2 linked regions of the Rhinolophus ferrumequinum genome follow. The protein of the gene in region 2 binds, or shares a complex with, the protein of the main gene of each other region. Links are inferred from orthologs where the notes say so. Each region holds a gene or a part of one and is shown on either strand. Other genes may lie near its edges.

Region 1 (8,451 bases), on a different chromosome or scaffold from region 2:
TTAACAGAGATGTCATTAAGTGCATATTTCAGATGAGGGACCTGGGGCTCAAAGAGAAAGTGACCTGGCCAGAGCCACCCAGCCAGAGTGGCCTGGGTCTGCTGCTTCAAGGCTGCAGTGCTCCCCACTGCGCCTCCTGGCTGCTCCCCCATCACAGAGCTGCAGGGATCACAGTGTTCCAAAGCTGGGGTGCGAGGCTGTGTGGGTGGAAGCCGTGGCGACTGGGAAATGTCCTTGTGTCAGGTAGGGGAAGCCATTAGCGCCCTTGGAGAGTGCAGCCTCCCCAGCTAAAGGGGCAGAGCCCATGGCAGGGGGCTGAGTGGGAACTGGAGAGGCAGTGTGTAAGAGGGGCTTTTTCCAGCTCAGAGCAGCTAGAGCTCATTCAAAGTCAGCAGGGAGAGAGGCGGTAGAGGGAGAGGAACTGAGTACAGAGAACAGGCAGGAACTGATGATTCTGTTGCTGCCTCCTCAGTGCCAGGCCCTGCGTGGCCTTGGAACACATACAAGGTACACACCACCCTGTGGACCCTTCCATGCAGCCCTGCTATGGGAAGGCAGCTGAGGCCAGCCCCATACAAGCAGGGAGCAGCCGGGAGGACTGAGTGGGCCTGAGTCCAAAGCCAACCAAGAGTGGAAGTAGGGCTCCTCCCCAGCTGGGGCATAACGGGGAGGTAGGGTTCCAGGGGCCCTGGTAGGACAAGAAGAAGCTCGCTGGGAGCCTGGGGAGGACTCAGGAAGTCAGGCCACCCCGGGGAGATCATGCAGTGGGGTAGCTACAGAGTGGTCAGGGAGCGCCCCGGGATGGGCCTGGGTCTCCTGCTCAGCCTGGGGGACTAGGTCAGCTCAGCTTTCACCCATTTCCCTTGCCACTGATAAAAATGACCGCTACTAGGTAGATGAAGAAGGACTCTTTCAGTGCAAGTGTAACTAGTTTAGCAGAAACAGGGAGAATTTATCTCATTTAACTGAGGTTAACGGCTTCAGATCTGGTGGGACCAGGTACTCTGGGTGTTACCAGCAGTCTGTCTGCTGTCTCCATCTCTGGGCACTGCTTTCCTAAGTGCTGGCTGTATTCTCAGGCGGCTCTCCCCATTATTGGGGAGACACCCCTCAACCAGCTCCAGACCCACATCCTGCCAGCTCAGCAGCCCCAGTAGAGGCTTTCTCAATGATTCCAGCAAAAGTCCCAGGGCTGCTGCCCATTGGGCTGACTTGGGTCATGTGTCCATCCCTGAAGCAGTCACTGGGTCTGACCGGTGGGCCTGGAACACAGGCTCCCCTCTGGAGCCTGTAGTGGAAAAATCAGCCGGAAGACAAGGGTAGGGCTTATGGAGGAGAGACCCTCGAGCTAGATCCAACAAGATCCGGGCCAGAACAGACTGCTTCCCATAAATCCCCTCAGAGACTGTCCCATGGTCCCCTCCCATGTGTCCCACCTCCTGCTCCTTCCTGGAACAGGTCGCTGCACACCCCGCCCCCCAAGCATGGGAAGCATTTTCCCATTATCTGGGCAGGTCACACCCCGGTGCCCCATCCATCCAGTCCTGTCCTATATAACCCTTTGTGCCTGCCACGTGGCCTGGAGGACATCCCTGTCACCTCAGTGCCATCGCCCAAGATGTGCCTCTTATGTAAGCTCTCTTAATAAACTCTTGATATAATGCTGGAGTTGTCAGCCTTTTTCTTCAGTCTCTCAGGCCTGGGAAGTTTTACATAACAGGGATGCCTGACCATGGACAGCCACTGCACTGGGCACTTTTCCTCCATGCCCAGGACTCCTGCACCCGGACTTTTCCTTAGACCCTACAGCTGTAACCTGAGGAACTACCTCTGACTAAATTGCAGGCCAGGCTAGCCCCTACATGTGGAAATGGGGGTGCTAGAAGGGGAAGTGGGAGAATAGGTGGTAGACTGACGTGATGTGGGACAGTCCTGGGTTCCCATCCAGACTTGCTACTCACCAACTGTGTGCCTCGGGGCCTCACTGCTCCTCTCTGAGCCTCAGCTTTCCTATCTGTAAAATAGTGATAACAGCCCACATCTCAATGGCATCTGCTATGTGCAGTTGCCATTTTAAGCACTTTCTAGATACTGTTTTAACATCCTCAAACAGACCCTATGAGGTAGGTACCATCATCATCATCCCCATTTTGTAGCTGGAAACGAGTAAGACAAAGAAGTTCAAGGAGTGAGTCTAAGGTCACACGGTTAGCAAGGTCCGTGGATTAGCAAGATCTGGGCAGCAATTGGCTTGTGAGGAGCAGAGCTTCTGTGGGAAAGTGGCCGGCCCAGTGCCAGGGCCCACACCTGCAAGGATGAGGGGGCATTTTTGAAGGTGTGCTTGGTATGAACTTGCAGAGTCAGGGTGAGGGCAGAGAAGGCTCCACCAGCCTGTGCTAAAAAATAGTCCTGAGGCCAATGTGTCATCCTCGAAGCCTTCCCTGAGATGTGTGGGGAGCACAGAATAGGAAGGTGGGTGTGGGGGGGAGGAGGGCCAGGCTGTGAAAAGGAAGGGAGGGGTTCTTATTTTCCAAGCTTCCATCCAGTCACTCACAACATGTTATCAAAGAGGAAACTCAGAGAAGGAAAGCATTTTAGCCCAGGTCACACAGCAAGTGACCAGCTTCAGAACTGAATTCTCCCTCTTTGTTGACTTTTGCACTCTGGGGACCCAGAAACCACTGGACCAGCCTCCCAGGGTGTTGTGGAGGCTCACTCTCTGGGGGTGGGGAGACCACTGTGTTAGTGGCTTAAAAGGTGTTCAGTGCTGAGAGTAATAGACACCAAGTCCTGGTGGGAGGACCGCCAAGTAAGCACCCAGCACCCACCCACCAAAGTGGGGTGTGTGGCTTTCAGGGCTAAAAGGAGGCAGGGTCACAGAGGAGGTAGTGATCAATGGTCACCCCACTCCCACAGGTCGAAGAAACAGGACTAAGACAGGACCATCGAATTTGGCAATTTAGGGGTCACTAGTGACCTTGGCCAGAGCAATTCCAAGAACAACGGAGACAGGGGGAGACAGATTACAGATATACAAATTACAGGATGAAGATGTGGAGGGAGAAGGGTGAGAAGACCAGAAGGGCTGGGCTCCAGGGCAGCCAAGCAGGCGACCCTCTTGGTTCCACTTACAAGGCCTCTCTGTACCATCTTTGTAATTTTTCTATGAATCTAAAACTATTCTAAAATGAGCTTATATAAAAATATAGATGGTAAAGAGGGCGTGGCTGGAAAGAGGCAGGAATTTGAGGGAGAGCATGCATGTGGGCTTCTGTGTTGTGGATGTGAAATCGAGCAAGCAGGAGGCTGGGAAGGGGGCCAGGGAGGGGAAGGTGGGAGGAATTCTGAGCTGGGACAAGTCAAAGGAAGCAGGAAGGGGCTGAGACCCAAGATCTCCCCTTCAGCCCTGTCATGGGATTTCCTCCCACCCCAGAATCCTAGTGACCTTGCCTGGGCCTTGCTCCAAGTGGGGGCTGTGGAGAAACTGCTAGGGCCAGGGGTCCATGGGCATAGTGGGCACAGGCAGGGGTCTGTGAACGCTTTTGAGTTTTAAGAGGGTTTTCTTACTCCAAAGCGCTGGGAACCACTGCTGGAGATCAACGCACACGCTACTCTCCTCCTCCTGTGGCCAACTCAGAACTCAGAGGCCCAGCTGAACCGTCTCCCAGATTAGACTAGGTAGTTAGCTCAGGTTCCATCACCTCCCTGGGAAGATGGGGGTGGCTTTGTAGGTGGTGCGAAAGGCTTCTGAGAGCTGGGGAGAGTTTCAGGGTCCCACCTCAGCAAGGAGCAGACGTGTTTCTGGAGGTGCTGGCAGTGGTGCCCACTCTCCTGCAGGGGACTCCTCTGAGGCCCTAGTGCTTTCTGTGCTCAGAGCTTTGGGGGAAAAAAGTGCCAGGAGGCTGGTCCTGGAGGAACCCTTCCCTGAGTCTACAGTTAGATGCTACTACTTGAAGGAAGTCCACTTGGGATCCTCTACGATGCCTGAGGCTTGCCAGTCAAGGCAAAGGAGTTCCTGGGCTGACCCCATCTGAGAGGGGCCAGGAGGCTGCTGGTAAAGAAGGGGGGCTCAGCCTAGGGGTGGTGGAAGAGGCTGGCGATACTGTGGTAATGAGCTTGGTTGGGGCTGGGGATGGTCAAGGAGGCAGGGATGTAGAGGTGCGGTTGGTTACTCGGATCAGAATGAGGACAGGATAGGCTGGACTGAGGAGGGTGCATCTAAGGATGGGGTGTGGGGAATGGGGGTGCATGCTAAGCATAGAGTTGGGAATGGGGCTGGAACTGGGGCTGGGAAAGAGATGGCAGTGGACAGTGGTAGGATGGACTGAATGGGCCTTTCCGAGGTGAGGCTGGGCGGCAGATGGGCCAGGGGTGGCTGATCTGTGAATTGGGTTGGGACTGGGGGTTTGGATGGATCAGGGATGGGGGTGAGACCAGGATGGAGATAATTAAGCACCAAATGGGACTGGGCCGGATTGGAATGAAGTGGATTTGGGATTGGGACTGGGAGCTGATTAGGAGAAGAATCAGCTGGGGACGGGGATGGTTGGAGCTGGGGAAGAGGGTGAGTACCTTAGGCTGGGAACACGGTGAGGGTTTGGGACGCGGGTGCGATGGGCCTCGGGAGAGGAGGGGCAGGTTGGCCCGGGTGCGGACGCAGAGGCGGTGGGTGAGGGGCGGGGGGCGCCTGGGGCAGGCCGGGAAGGGGGGGCTGGCCTCCCCCTGGGCTGGGCCCGGGCGGCGCTAGGACCGAGCGCGGAGGGACGAGCCGGGCGGAGCCAGCGCCCCCCGCCCCCCGCCGGCCGGCTCCCCTCCCCCGGCCGCTGGCTCGCTCGGCTCTCAACGCTGCAGAGGCTCCGAGGCGGCGGCGGCGGTGACTCCCTCGTTCCCTCCCTCTTCTGTCCGTCCGTCCGTGCGTCTGTCCGTTCGGCCTGGGTCCGGCCCGCAGTATGGCCGGCGTCAGCTTCAGCGGCCACCGCCTGGAGCTGCTGGCGGCGTACGAGGAGGTGATCCGGGAGGAGAGCGCGGCGGACTGGTGAGCCCCCGCCCCCGCCCCCCGGCCCCTTTGTCCCCGCGCCGCCGCCGCCGCCGCCGCGCCTTTGTTTCCACCCGGCCCGCCGCACGGCTGCAGGGAAGGGAGGGGGCGACCCCGAAATGGTGGAGCGGCCTGGGAGGGCCGGGAGGGGCTGCCTTTGTGCGCGCCGGGGAGGGGCCGGGCGGGGTGCTGCGCCCCGAGGCCGGCCCAGGCGCGCGGTATGAGCGGTGGCCAGACGCGGGTCGGAGAGACGCAGGATCTGGACGTGTGGCCCGGGGCCACATGGTCCTGCAGGAGCCCATCCCCCGTCCTCTCCCCCGCCGGGGCTCAGGGGACAGGTGTGCACCGGGCGGCCAAGGGCACCTTCGCTACCTTCTAGCGGGCGCGGACCGGGCGGTGACGGGGCGGGGACCCAGCTAGCGGAGCCAGCTCAGCCTGCCTGGCCCAGCCCCGCCGGCCGGCCACAGCACAAAGGAACGCTAGGGCGGGGGAGGAGCAGAGCGGGCTGGGGGCCGAGGCGCCCCGCCCACCGGGGGGGCCTCTCGGAGTTGGGGTGTGATGGAAAGACGTTCATTGCACATGGCAACCGTGCAGTGACTCCTGTTCCTCTCAGTGGTCGTGGAGGAGACGGAGATAAATGGGATTGTAGGTACTGGGCAGCTGGGCTGGGAGATGCCAAGGGGGCCAGCTGGGGACCCTGGGAGGAAGCCCTCAGGCGCACACGCGTGGAGGGAGCCCCTAGAGAGGGATGAGGGCTGAGTAGATCCACTGAGCCCCCAGCCTCATCGCACAGTGGCAAGGGGCTCTCGGCTTCCTGGTGGGGGAGGAGCTGGGCTGCCCTCTTCCCCCTCCCCAGCTGTTGTCTCCCCAAGCTCTGGGAGGGGTGGACCACCTGCTCTGAGGCTGGTGTCCCCAGGGTGGTAGGAAAGCCAAGGGGTTCCACACTGCCCCATTCAGGAATCATCCCCCCAAAAGACTCTTCTCTTGGGGCAGGTACCCATTCTGTTCCCAGGCCTCTTCTCCCCTTGGCAGGCAGGAAACTGAGGTACAGTGTGAGGGCAGGCCTGAGGGACCTCACTTGAGCTGGCCTTACCCTCACCCTGGGAAGGCATTTGGGAAGGGACACTGACCTGGGGGCTGGAGGAGGGGACAAGTGGTGAGGTGTCCATGCCACGGTACTGCAGCACTGGCGGGCAGCCAGTCCTGGAGGGATGGACGCGGGAGACAAGCTCATGTCCTGCAGGTCAGTCACAGGAGAGGCCAGCACAGGCGAAGTGGGCAGGCGGCCCACCCATTGTCCCAGCCCTGCCCCTGGGGGCTGAGATCATGGGAGAAGTCCAGGGCAAGTGGCTGCCTTGGCCTAGTGGAGGAGCTGGCCTCGAGACCCGATGGGCCCTGCCTGAAGAGGGGCAGGGTCCATCATAGAATGCCCCCCTCACCCTCAGTCTGGGGATACTGTCTATCACCACCCCATCGGGCCTAACCCCCCAAAAGCAGAGCTCTGGAGGCCCAGTGCGGGTCCACACAACCACTGCTGGCCCACGTCCTCCTCAGCAGAGGGCTGGGCTCCCACCACGCAGCAGCATCCATGTGGCCAGAGTGAGTTATTCATCACTGGCGTGCGTCACCCCATCTGGGTGTGTGTGAGGCACACACAGATTCACACAGCCTCGCACATGCACACACGTATTCACTCTCAGTGGCCTAGGTAGCATTTTGTAAAAAGGGTGTGAGGATCATGTCCTGCTGCCAGCTCCGAGCCAGGGGTGCAGTGGGGTCTCAGGACTCAGGCACAGACCCGACACTAAGTCTAGAGGAGGATGTCTTGGGTAAAATTGCTGCCTGAGCAAAGGAGGCTTATCATTGCCCTCCCTTATCTTGCCTCTGAGTGGGGCTGGGGAGCAGGAGGGGAGTGGTCACTCCTGTGGCAGGGCATCTGAAATGGACCACTGTCCAGGTGGGAGCAGGGGACCCCAGGAAGTTAGGTTGTGTAGTGGGAAGAGCCAGTGTTGCCCTGGATGTGACAGACTCACTATGTGACCACACACAAGTGCCTGCTCTTCTCGTGTTCTTGAAAACAAGGAGACTCAACCATATCGGGACCTCCAGGGCCCATCTGGCTCTGACATCCTGAGAGTGTGATTGTCCTGAGGGGTCCACCTGCCCTCAGCCTCCCACGTTAGCTGACTCCAGCATCTCCTTGGAGCTCCAGCTCCCAACTCACCTCAGTCCAGTTTCTCTGGCCTAGATGGTTTTTCAGTGTTAGTGCCAGTATCTCAGGTACCTACTGGTGCCACTGTGGGCTGGACCCTGGACCCAGAGAGTGAAGTATGTTGATTGACTGAGTCAGACATCCTGCCTCCGCGAAGCTTAGGTCTGAGGCAGTGTCTGTCTCCAGGGCTTAGAGCTGGTGAGACATGTAGATTCCTGGTTCCCCCCACTCTGACTTCCTGCGGTTTCACCAGCTCCCACTGTCCAGGCCCAGGCCAAAGCCGGCTCTGCGGTATTTGAGAAGCACTTGTTCAGTGAGATCTGCGGCAGGCTTAGATGCCTTTTTCCATCCCTGCTGGGGTGTGATAATGCCTGAGGAGGTGCACCTCAGGACAGGGCACAGCTTCCTAGGGAGCTGGCATTGGGGCCCCGAGGGATTTCTGCCAGGGGTGGGCATGTGGTAGAGAAACTGGTCTGGTCTTTTTGTGACAGGAATCACATATGCAAAGGCTCGAGGGTGGGAAATACCCAGAACTGTGTTTGGCATCCGCGAGCCGTCTAGTGTGACCCCAGTGTGTGGTGTGGACACAGAAGGTCTAGCTGGAAAGGCAGGCAGGTGGGGCTCAGGGTTGAAGGCCTGCTGAAGGCTTTGAACTTAGCTATGGTTTCTGTCAGGTCAGTGGCTGGAGCTGAAAGGTGGCTGGAAGTGGGCAGGCAAGAGTTGAGGATGGAAGGGGCAGTACATGTGTAGCAAGGGCACTCAGAACTTCTGGGAGGCTAATAGTCACCCCTGGGAGGTGTGTGTGTCTGGGAACCAGGGTCTCAGAGTTCTGCCTCAGTTTCTCATTTTTGGAATGGGAAGGGGCAGACTTTGCTTCTCTGAGGGCCCTTTGTTCCCAGTGACGGGTTAGGGCAGCCGGACAGGTGGTGGGACAGCTGTGCTGGGAAGCAGCTGCCAGCACTGGGGCCCAGGCGACAGTTGGAGCAGGAGCTCTGGGCCTCACAGCCCACCTGTGTCCCTTTCCGGAGGGAGGGGTCCTGGAAAGTGTGTGTGTGTGTGTCCTCCCTCTTCCCTCCCTCCTTCCCTCTCTCCCTCCCTCCTTCATTTCCTCATCATACCTTCACTTTCCTCCTTTCTCTTCTCTTCCTTTCTCCTCTCTCTGACTCCCTCCGTCCCTTTCTCTTCTCCATCTCCTTTGTGCTCC
Region 2 (9,035 bases):
AAAACATTCCCTCAGCCAATGCATAGGATACTCACAAATTAGATTTTTGTCCACCCCCAACAGAGCCCTGAAAATTAACAATGGGTTTTGCAAAACCCGCTTTCAGAGGCCGAACTAATTGCCTCATAGTGGATAATGTAATTTACTGTTACAGGTCTGTGCATTGGCCTCAGCACTCTGTGGTGCTGCGAGGGGGGAGTTTCAAGGTGACAGCTTTTTAGTTCCATGGGAGACAGGAGGGCACAGTGCCCAAGGCTGTGCCAGGGCCAGGACGGGCGGCTGGCTCCTCGCCGGCTGATAGGTACGGTAATCTTGATGAGGAGGGACAGCCTGGCAGCACAGCTAGCTGCAAGGCTGAAATGGCTCCCGCCAGCTTGTTTATCTGGAAGGAGAGTGGGGTGGGGCGGGGGGAGGGCGGCCATACCCTAGGCAACCTGAAGCCAAGGGTGAATCCTGGTTTTTGCATTAAAGTGCAACACAAGGGCTTCTAAACATATTCCCTTACTAAGTCTCTGCCGTGGGGTCGGGAAAGCACTTCTGCATGTGTCTTTCTTTTCAGGGTCAACCAGAGGCAAAGCCAGATCTAGGGCTTATCAGCTGACAAATGTTTGTTGCCTCTGCCACAGGAGAGAGAAGGGAAAAGAAGGCAAAGGAAACAAAGAGATCACACATTTGAAGTGGTTGGACTCAAAAAACCTACCTCTGCCTTCAGGGTTTTCTGGGTTACTGTCACCCTGCTTTTTAAAGAGTGACTCATTTTCCCCCTCTCCTATTTAAGACCTGAAGCCGTTTCCCCACTGTTCTCCTGGGGGGAAAAAGTGGGGAATGTTTTGTTGAAAAGAAAAGGGGTTACAGGAAAGAAAGAAAAGAAAAAGAAGCTATTGTTTTCATCCCTAATTTGTAATCTAAGATGCCCCATTGTTTCCTTCTTTCTGACTCAAATCTGTGGGTCGTTAATTATAAAAAGTAACTGGAAGGGGCTCCAACAGGCTACCCATGTGCACGCACAGCAAGTAGAAAAACTCTGTAGAAAGTTTACGGAGTGATTACGTATAATTAATTCCTAGTTATAGTCGGGAACACTGACCATTTTCTGGAGCTAATAAAAGCAGTCACTAACCCTTCCCCCTCGTGAATGCCATTTAATTTCCCAAAGCAGAAAGTGAATCCATCCTGGAGGGTCTTGAAGGAAAAAAAAAGGGGGGGGGGCAGATCAAAAGCTCCAGTGTGTCTGTGTTTGTTCCTTGCAGCTGTGCATCCTCTTTGGGGACTGAGGAGATAGAAGGAAAAAGGGAAACAACCCAGTGTCCCGTTCCTCCCTCTGCAATTTGCAAACGTGGCAGAGAGAGAACCTTCTACCTTGATAGAAAAAAAAAAAGAGAGTGGGGGAGGGGCGATGCCCTAGGAATGGAATGCAGGAAACTCTTCAGCTTGGAGGATCTGCTTTTCCTAAAAGGAACAAAGATGGCAGAAATTTCCAGAAGGCCCGGTCTGAGTCCGGCCACTGCAATTGTCAATCTGTAACCTTTCTCCTCCAAGTCTATTGGTTCAAAATCTGGAAGAGAGGAAGCCCATTGGGCTTGCTCTGTGAGCCAGCACTGCTGTCCCTACCTAGTCCTGCTGCAATGCAGACATTTATTTTTCCCCCTTAGTGAAAACTGGAAAATAATGCGACTTTGAAAGCAATTAACTTTTTACAGACTCATGCTTAGTGGTGGCCACAGTCCCCAAGGAAAAGGGCTAGGTTGGTCCAGGGCTAGGAACCTGCTGGAGCTGCACATCTGAAAACAGATCTTGGCTTTGCAAACCTGTGGGAGCCATTTTAATGCAAGCTTTTAGAGGACAAATGCCTTGCCCTTCAGTTTCCTTCCAGCCCAACAAACACACCATTATGCAAACATTGAAGGCACCAAACCAGGAGTCTTGTGATTAGATATTGCTTCTGAGGAGGCCACAAGAACCTCAATATGTAATTTCCATTTACAGCCAGGAGATAGGAACAAAGAAAATAGCTAAGTGTCTGAACTTACTTGTGTGGGGCACAAGTGTTTTAAGTATATAAAACATCATTAACTGCCTGCCCTTTTACTCTAAGACACTGGCCCTACACAGACTTTTCTCGAATTTGGTACCTTTATCATTATTAAATGAGCCTTTTTCCCATTGGTGCTAAAAGGTGGGTAGATAGTCACTAAAAGAAGAAAAAAAAGATTATTGACTCCATAAAGTTGGCATAACACAGCAACTGCATCTATTTCCAGCATTTACAGTCATGCTGGATTGTTCTCCAGACTGAAATTGATGCAGTGAACTTCTAGGGAAATTCTGAAGCTAACACTAAACAAGAGTCCACTTTTTTTCATTCTTAAGTCCTAACTGCAGCATTAAGAGATCAGGGGAAATGTAAAAAGTGAGAAATAAATCATTAGTAAAGGCAAGCGTGCATACAGACGTGTGTGGGTCTGCCTTGGAAAAAGGCCGAAATCTGTTGTTCAGTGAGTCCTAAATCAAACCAAGTTTGCTGCTGGTGGGTGGGATTTTGCAATCCATGTCAGTATCCCAAAACCTAAGTACTGACACCACCACCCCCACACACCACCACCACCACCACCACCACCACCACCACCACCACAACCACCAGCTCCTGCCCCACCACGGCTTAAGGTTCTGTGATTCTAAGACCAAGCACTTTCTTACATTTCACAAGCAGATCACCTACCCAGAGTTCTAATATCCAAACAAACCCAATTAAAGGTCTCCAGTCAAGTCACAACGAACTGCACATTTCTCCCCTGTCTGAGGGTTAACAGGAAGTGTAATCTTCAATCCTAGCTGCAGGTTCTCAGGAAAAACAGTTGATTCACACAGTCACCTAAAATCAAGACACTATTAAAAAGCCCTTATTTGGTTCCTGCTAAGGAAAAGCCCTCCACGGCTGTAGCCAAGACCCCCTGTTACAAACAGGCCCCAAATGTTCACCAAACTCTTTATACATGGTCACAGAGGAAATGGATCGCTTTACTTACCCAACATGTTCAAGCAACCGTCTCATTTTTCCACAGTTAAGAAGAGAGAACAGGCTGGCAGATTTGGGACTTGATCAAAAAGGAAATTTTTTTAAACAGTTACATGGGATTATTAAAAACACACACAACAACAACACAACAACTGAATAGGGAATGCTGTCATGAGCCACACACATGATTTTATTTCCTCTGCACTCTATCACACAGGAGGGCAGAAGATGATACAATGTAAAAAAAAAAGGGGGGGGAAAGGAAAAAGAAAACAAGGATAAAAGATACATTAGTTCATTGAAAATCATGCAAGAATAGAAAGCTAAGGGATTCAAAGAGTCCTCACAGATTTATTGCAGGATGTTGTCCAACATCCCACCCCCCACGCCCCCCTCAATCCCCATCCCTACTCCAAAAACTTCCTCCAAAGCCTAGAAAACACTTTCAGAAACATTTGCTGGCTGTAGGCTGGCTTGCAGAAGAACATTCTGTAGCAACAGAAGTCAGGAAAAAAGGCTGAACAATGTAGTTTCAAGTGAAGAAACCCTGTTGGGAGAAAAAAGACCATGTAGAGACACCACCACCCACCTAGGCCCCAAGAGCTAGGAGCTCTCCTTAGCACTGCTCTGCTGAGGGCTTGGTTCTGTTTAAAACACACGTCCTCTCTGGTCAGAACTTAGTCCAGCCTTCCCAGAACCTCTTTGGAGAGGAAAACTTGCCTGCTTTGCTGTCTGCCATGAGCTCTCCTTAGAGAGGAGCCTGCTTGCTCACCTTCCATTTTCTTCCCCCAGCAGGCATGTGACACAAGAGAAGACAATAGTGCAGGGGGGGAAACTGCTCAGAGAGAGAGAGAGAGAGAAAGAGAGAGGAGGAAAAAAAAAAAAAAAAACCTTCTTTTTTGGCATACCAGGATCTAGCTTCAAACTATTCCAGAAACACCATGTCCTGGTGGAAGAAAAGGTGTGCCAGGCCCTTGCCAGTTTGCAAAATCAGGCTATGGCTAATGGCTACTTAGCCATGTGACCCAAGAAAGCAAAAAAATTCTCTCTAAACAGTTCCAAGTTAACCTAAGTGCTGTGGGGGTGAGTGTGGCACAGCCAGCCACAGAGAAATCACACTGCTCGCCCACAATTCGGATGTCTCAGAGGGAGGGGGAGAAAAGATGGTTAAAAAGTCGAGCTTACCTCTGTGGATGCATTGTTAACACTGTGTAATGTCAATACTTATAAAACATGGAGGACAGGCTCCTAGTTCTCACAGAAAAAGGGTTTGGCACTTCGGCTTGATGATCTGGCCGCCTAATAAGAGCTCATCCCCGATTGGCTGGCCCGGCAAATCGGAGTGTAAGGCGGCCCGGGATTGGCTGAAACACTTCCTGAGCGATTATCTTTGTGAGGCTCTGGTGAGCAAGAGCCATCCTGTGCATAGAAAAAGACAGGCTAAGCTAGGCCTTTTGCAGCAAGAAAAACTTGGGAAAGGGGCCCCCACACGCACTTCTCCCACACCCTGGCTAGATTTCCCTGTACGGGCAAACCAGTGCAGCCAGCCTGACCTGCCCCAGCAAAGCCTGAGGCCTGGATGCCACTGGGAAGAGAGTTTTTGGGGTGAGCTGAAAGGGCTCACCCTCACCTGCCCCCACAGAAGCGGCTCTCGGCTAGGAGGAAGGCTGGCCCTTTTCTAGAACAATCCAGTCGATGGTCCCCCCCGGAGGGTGGGGGGAGAAACTGAGGAGGGGGAGCGTCAGGAAAAGAGCCAAGGGGGCAGGAGAAAGGAGCTTGGGGCAGGCCTTTCAGGAGTTGGGGGCAAACAGGACAGGCAAGCCCCCCAAAATCGCTAAAGAGCAGCTGTGGCTTCTCCGAGGACAGAGGATTCAGGCTGCTTAGGGGAGGAGGGGAACAGAGTGGTCAAGTTTGCATAGTCATTGTCAAAATGCCTCCTGGAAAAGCAGGCCAGAGAGCCATTTTCCCCGCAGAGAATACATCCTCTCACCCACCCCCTTCAGCCAGTACTCAAAGGAAAACCAAAATGGGTTCCTGCCTCCCTGCCAGGATGCCAGGGGGTGGGGGGGCCCTCTCAGTCCTTACCCTAAGAAAAGCCAAGTGCACTCCTAGCAGGCCACATGCCTAGATCTACAAACTTCCCTTCCCCTCCCGGCCCCCTCCCCCACTGCTGAGGCCTGCTAAACCTGTCAGTTAAACAAAAATCTGACTTCCGTATTAGTCTGCGATGCCTTCAGCTTCCTGCCCATTAACCCTCTCTCGGACTCTGGGCCTGGCTGGGAAAGACTAGGCCCTGAGATCGCAGAAAAGGCCTGTGGAAAAATACCAGCTGCAGCTCTCCCGGCAGATGCAGAAAGAGAGAGAGTGAGCCGCTGTCTCTCGCCTTTGCTTCCCAAGGAGGCGTGTACCTTCTGAATCCAGGGCACAGGCAGTGCCTCTCAGTCTGAGAAGCCATTTAAATCCAGAGGGAGAAAGAAAGATGTCAAACTCAACGAGGAAACAAGAACCCCCATTATTAGTCAGGCCTACACCCACTGCTTAGCCCTTCCTGTCACAATCATGCCTGTATGTATGTACTTGGGGAGCTGGGCCCTCGGTGGGCAGACAAATCTCATGAGCTTTAAAAGGATTCTTGCTTAAATTTATTTCCACAGAGTACTGCTTCTTTTCGTCCCCTAAGGCAGATGGAACAGCTATTTCACACACAGCTCTACACTTGGCAGCCCCCCACACCCCTATCTCTGGCACTGCTCCCCAGTAAAATATTAACTAGTTTTTCAGAACGGCTTATAATTTCACCCATTTCAATAGTATGAGGAGGTCTTTGCCTGTTTCCTCCCGAAAGCTGCCTTTGTAGTTGGTCTGTACCCTGAGAAAGAAAAAGCAAATCCAAAAGGCTCTCCGAATGTCCATAGTTGATTTTTCTTTTTCCTTTTTTTTTTTTTTAAAGACAAGCTGCTTAATTAAGATTTTTTTTAAAACAGCAAGCTGGAACAACAGAAGCTAAATAAACACCATTCTTTAGAGGTTGGAGAAAGCTTCCAGAGGTGAGGCAGCCATATGCCAGGAGGTAAAAAACTATGGCCCAATAAAGTCTTCCCTTCCTCCTAAAATTAGGACCCGTGGGCTTTCTCGTCCCACACCATTCATTCGTTCCCACAAAGAAAACATGGAGCTGATGGCCTGCTCTCCCCCCACCCCACATGGACAACAGATGCCCACCCCCTCTGCATGTACATAAATTCTTCCTGGCTGGGAATCTTCCATCAAACAGGAACAAGCCAGGAATCCACACACACTGTACTGCTGGGGCTGGGCCGGCGCTTTATGAAAAGGGAGGGGACCTTGTTGCTGCTGTATTTTAGGCTGAAGAGGCCAAGATGAAGAGACACCTCCACCTCCACGGCCACAGCACCAGCACTCAGGACAACAGGCCTCACCAGAAGGGAGGGACCGCCTCTTCCTGTGGGTGGAAGCCTGTAGAGGGAGACCAAGTAGGGGACAAGAGGCAAGGCCAGACCTAATCAGACAGGTCTCCCTCCACCACCATCCCATAAGGAATATTGTTTGTCTCCCCAGGTGCTGCTTTTGCGGGAACAGACATGACTGAGTCTGTGACGGAATTTGCGTGCAGCTAACTTCACGACCCAATGAGGAAATGAAATACGCCACGGGTCGCGTGGTGGATTTTAACCCGGGATTAAAACGGGTTGCATAAGCAGCTGCAGCATTCTCCCCCTCCCTCCCGCCCTCTCTCTGATCACTTGATCACTTGAAATGTTTTCTGGGGCAAAGAGCAGGAAGCTGCAAGCTTATTCTGGCAGCTCTGCTCTGTTGGAGGAATGCTGTTGGCATTCGGGTAGGTCTGAGGTTATCTGGAAAACAGAAATTCGGCTGGGGACAGAGACAAAGGTATGGTGGCAGATGGAATCCTGGGAGGAACATGGATCGAAAAGGAAGCCGAGAGCAGGCCCACTACGGGCCACTCCTGGGCTTGATGGAATGTGGCTGATAAGAGGGAATAAAGAAGCCCAACGTTGCTGACCTCAATCTAGAGCTCAAGTCAGTGGCCCTTCTCAAAACTTCCCCCTGCACAGAATAGTCCCACTACTGCATGCTCACCGTGGAACAGGCACTATGCTACATCAGCGCTTTGCACAAGCTGACTTCATCAGGAGATAGGGAGCATTGTTAGAGACCTGGAACTGAGCCCAGAGAGGGGAAGTGAGCTGTCCAAGGTCACACAGCTGGCAAGTGCCAGACACCAGACTTCCAACCCAGTTATGACTCCACATCTTTAAACCCTGTACCTTCACTTGCCTCTAAAGGAGGAAACAAAAGAGAAGCGTGATCTGTGTTTTCCTTTTAGGTGGTCAATTCCTTTGAGAAAGAGCTTTAAGTCCTGAATGATGGAGCTGGGAGAATTTTAAATTAGACTCATTCCAAGGCCCAGAGAAAGCTCCTCTCTCCCTGCAAACCTCCAGCAAGAGGTCGGGGGGAAACTTTCTCTAAAATCAGGTTTTTTTATATTCCTTGAAATCTGTGGTTCTTAACCAGGTTCAAAACCAGGTGGTTTTGCCCCCCAGGGCCTCTGTGGCAGTGTATGGAGAACTTTGGGTTGTCACAATTTGGGGAAAAGGTGCTACTGGCATCTAGTGGGTGGAGACCTGGGAGGTTGCTAAACATCCTACCCTACAGTGCACAGCACAGACACCACACACACAGAGACACACACGACCGCCGCAACAGAGAATTATTTGACCCAAACCGTCCCTTTGTCCCAAGGTAGGGAAACCTTGGCTCAGATGAACAGGAAGAAGAAGAAAAAATCCAACCACTGTGCCTCTCTGGATAGAAAAGCCAGCACAGGCCTAAACAAGCAGGTTCCCTGGTGATATTAATAAGCAATGAGCTAATAATAAAAATAGATTAAAACATGTCTCTCTTAATATTCCCAGGGGACGGAGAAAATTGGGGGACAGAATGAGGCTGAAAGAAGCCCGGCAGAAAGTCACGGTGATAAAGCTGGTCTCCAAGGAGAGGGAGGGCTGGCCCCAGCTCCCTTCCCCAGGCACCTTAACCAGCCGAGGCCTGGCCTCGACGAAATGGCTCTCCACTCCGGTTGGCCTGCAGCCAGGAGAGCAGCAGCGGGCGCGGCCTCGGCAAGCTGCGTCCCGAGATAGCCTGTTCGGCTGCCTATGAAAATAAGCACACTTGGAGTTATCTGCCTGAAGCGAGCAGCAGGCCTCTTGGTCCGTTATGTGAAACGGACAGGATTGAGGCAGGGACGTGTTTTAAATATCTTGTTTTGTTCCTTTTTGGCCAATTGGAACGGAGGCCAACTTCAGGCATGGTGACAGAAGGGCTCACCTTCAGAGCATGCAGTCATGTTCCGGCCACAGACAGGCATGAGGACTCCCTCCCTTGGAGATGTGTCCTAGGGAAGGTCTTTCTTTCTTTCTTTCTTTCTTTTTTTCCACTTCTTTCTAGGAGGGACTGGCAGGATTAGGCAAATGGAGGGCAGTGGGGGATGGTACGTGACCATCAGGCAGATGGGCCCAGTGTGGGTGGGGAGAGATGTAAGAGGTGCAGGAAGAAAATGAAAATCAAAAGGAAGATGATTCAAACCTCTGCTTCCTTGCTCTTTTTACTCCCCAGCAATTACCATTATGGAAAGAAGAACACATATTCATTTGCTCTGTTTGTTTCTCTCTCCCACTAGACCAGTGGCCATATCTGGAGACATTTCTGGTTGTCACATCTGGAGGAAGGTATTGCTACTGGCATCCAGAGAGTAGAGGCCAGGGATGCTGCTAAGCACCTGACAAAGCATAGGACAGCCCCCCCAGACCCCCCAGCAGAGAACTAGCCAGCCCCAAATGTTATCAGTGCCAAGGCTGAGAAACCCTGCATTAGACTGAGAGCTTCAGCAAGGCAAAAAGCTGGTCTGAATTCTTCACCTTTGTGCTCTCGGCATCTAACACTGTGCCTGACATGTATTAGAGCTCAATAAAACATC

What was found.
Region 1: the proteins of ZMYND8 (region 2) and DBN1 are in contact, whole or in part, in a crystal structure (PDB 5Y1Z), measured with the Homo sapiens proteins. The link is inferred for Rhinolophus ferrumequinum from reciprocal best matches to the Homo sapiens genes ZMYND8 and DBN1. Residues at the interface, in NP_001350670.1 of Homo sapiens: Gln167, Pro168, Gly169, Thr170, Gln236, Ile237, Val240, Lys243, Ile244, His247, Trp269, Leu285, Gly287, Phe288, Phe307, Gly309, Gln310, His311, Asp312, Ala314, Thr335, Lys336, Ser337, Ile338; in NP_004386.3 of Homo sapiens: Met1, Ala2, Phe6, Ser7, Arg10, Leu11, Leu14, Tyr17, Glu18, Asp92, Ala93, Cys96, Ala97, Ala99, Ser100, Lys104, Glu107, Phe108, Gln110.

Annotation. Positions count from the first base shown.
Region 1 is NC_046307.1:5,150,706-5,159,156, forward strand, and holds the start of DBN1 (drebrin), read left to right. Parts: upstream 1-4,785; 5' UTR 4,786-4,949; coding exon 4,950-5,035; intron 5,036-5,615; exon of another isoform or gene 5,616-5,672; coding exon of another isoform or gene 5,673-5,680; intron 5,681-8,451. UniProt on the Homo sapiens protein: Actin cytoskeleton-organizing protein that plays a role in the formation of cell projections. Required for actin polymerization at immunological synapses (IS) and for the recruitment of the chemokine receptor CXCR4 to IS.
Region 2 is NC_046306.1:11,178,336-11,187,370, reverse strand, and holds the start of ZMYND8 (protein kinase C-binding protein 1), read right to left. Parts: upstream 3,845-9,035; 5' UTR 3,796-3,844; coding exon of another isoform or gene 3,756-3,795; coding exon 3,737-3,755; intron 3,564-3,736; coding exon 3,428-3,563; intron 3,096-3,427; coding exon 3,027-3,095; intron 1-3,026. UniProt on the Homo sapiens protein: Chromatin reader that recognizes dual histone modifications such as histone H3.1 dimethylated at 'Lys-36' and histone H4 acetylated at 'Lys-16' (H3.1K36me2-H4K16ac) and histone H3 methylated at 'Lys-4' and histone H4 acetylated at 'Lys-14' (H3K4me1-H3K14ac).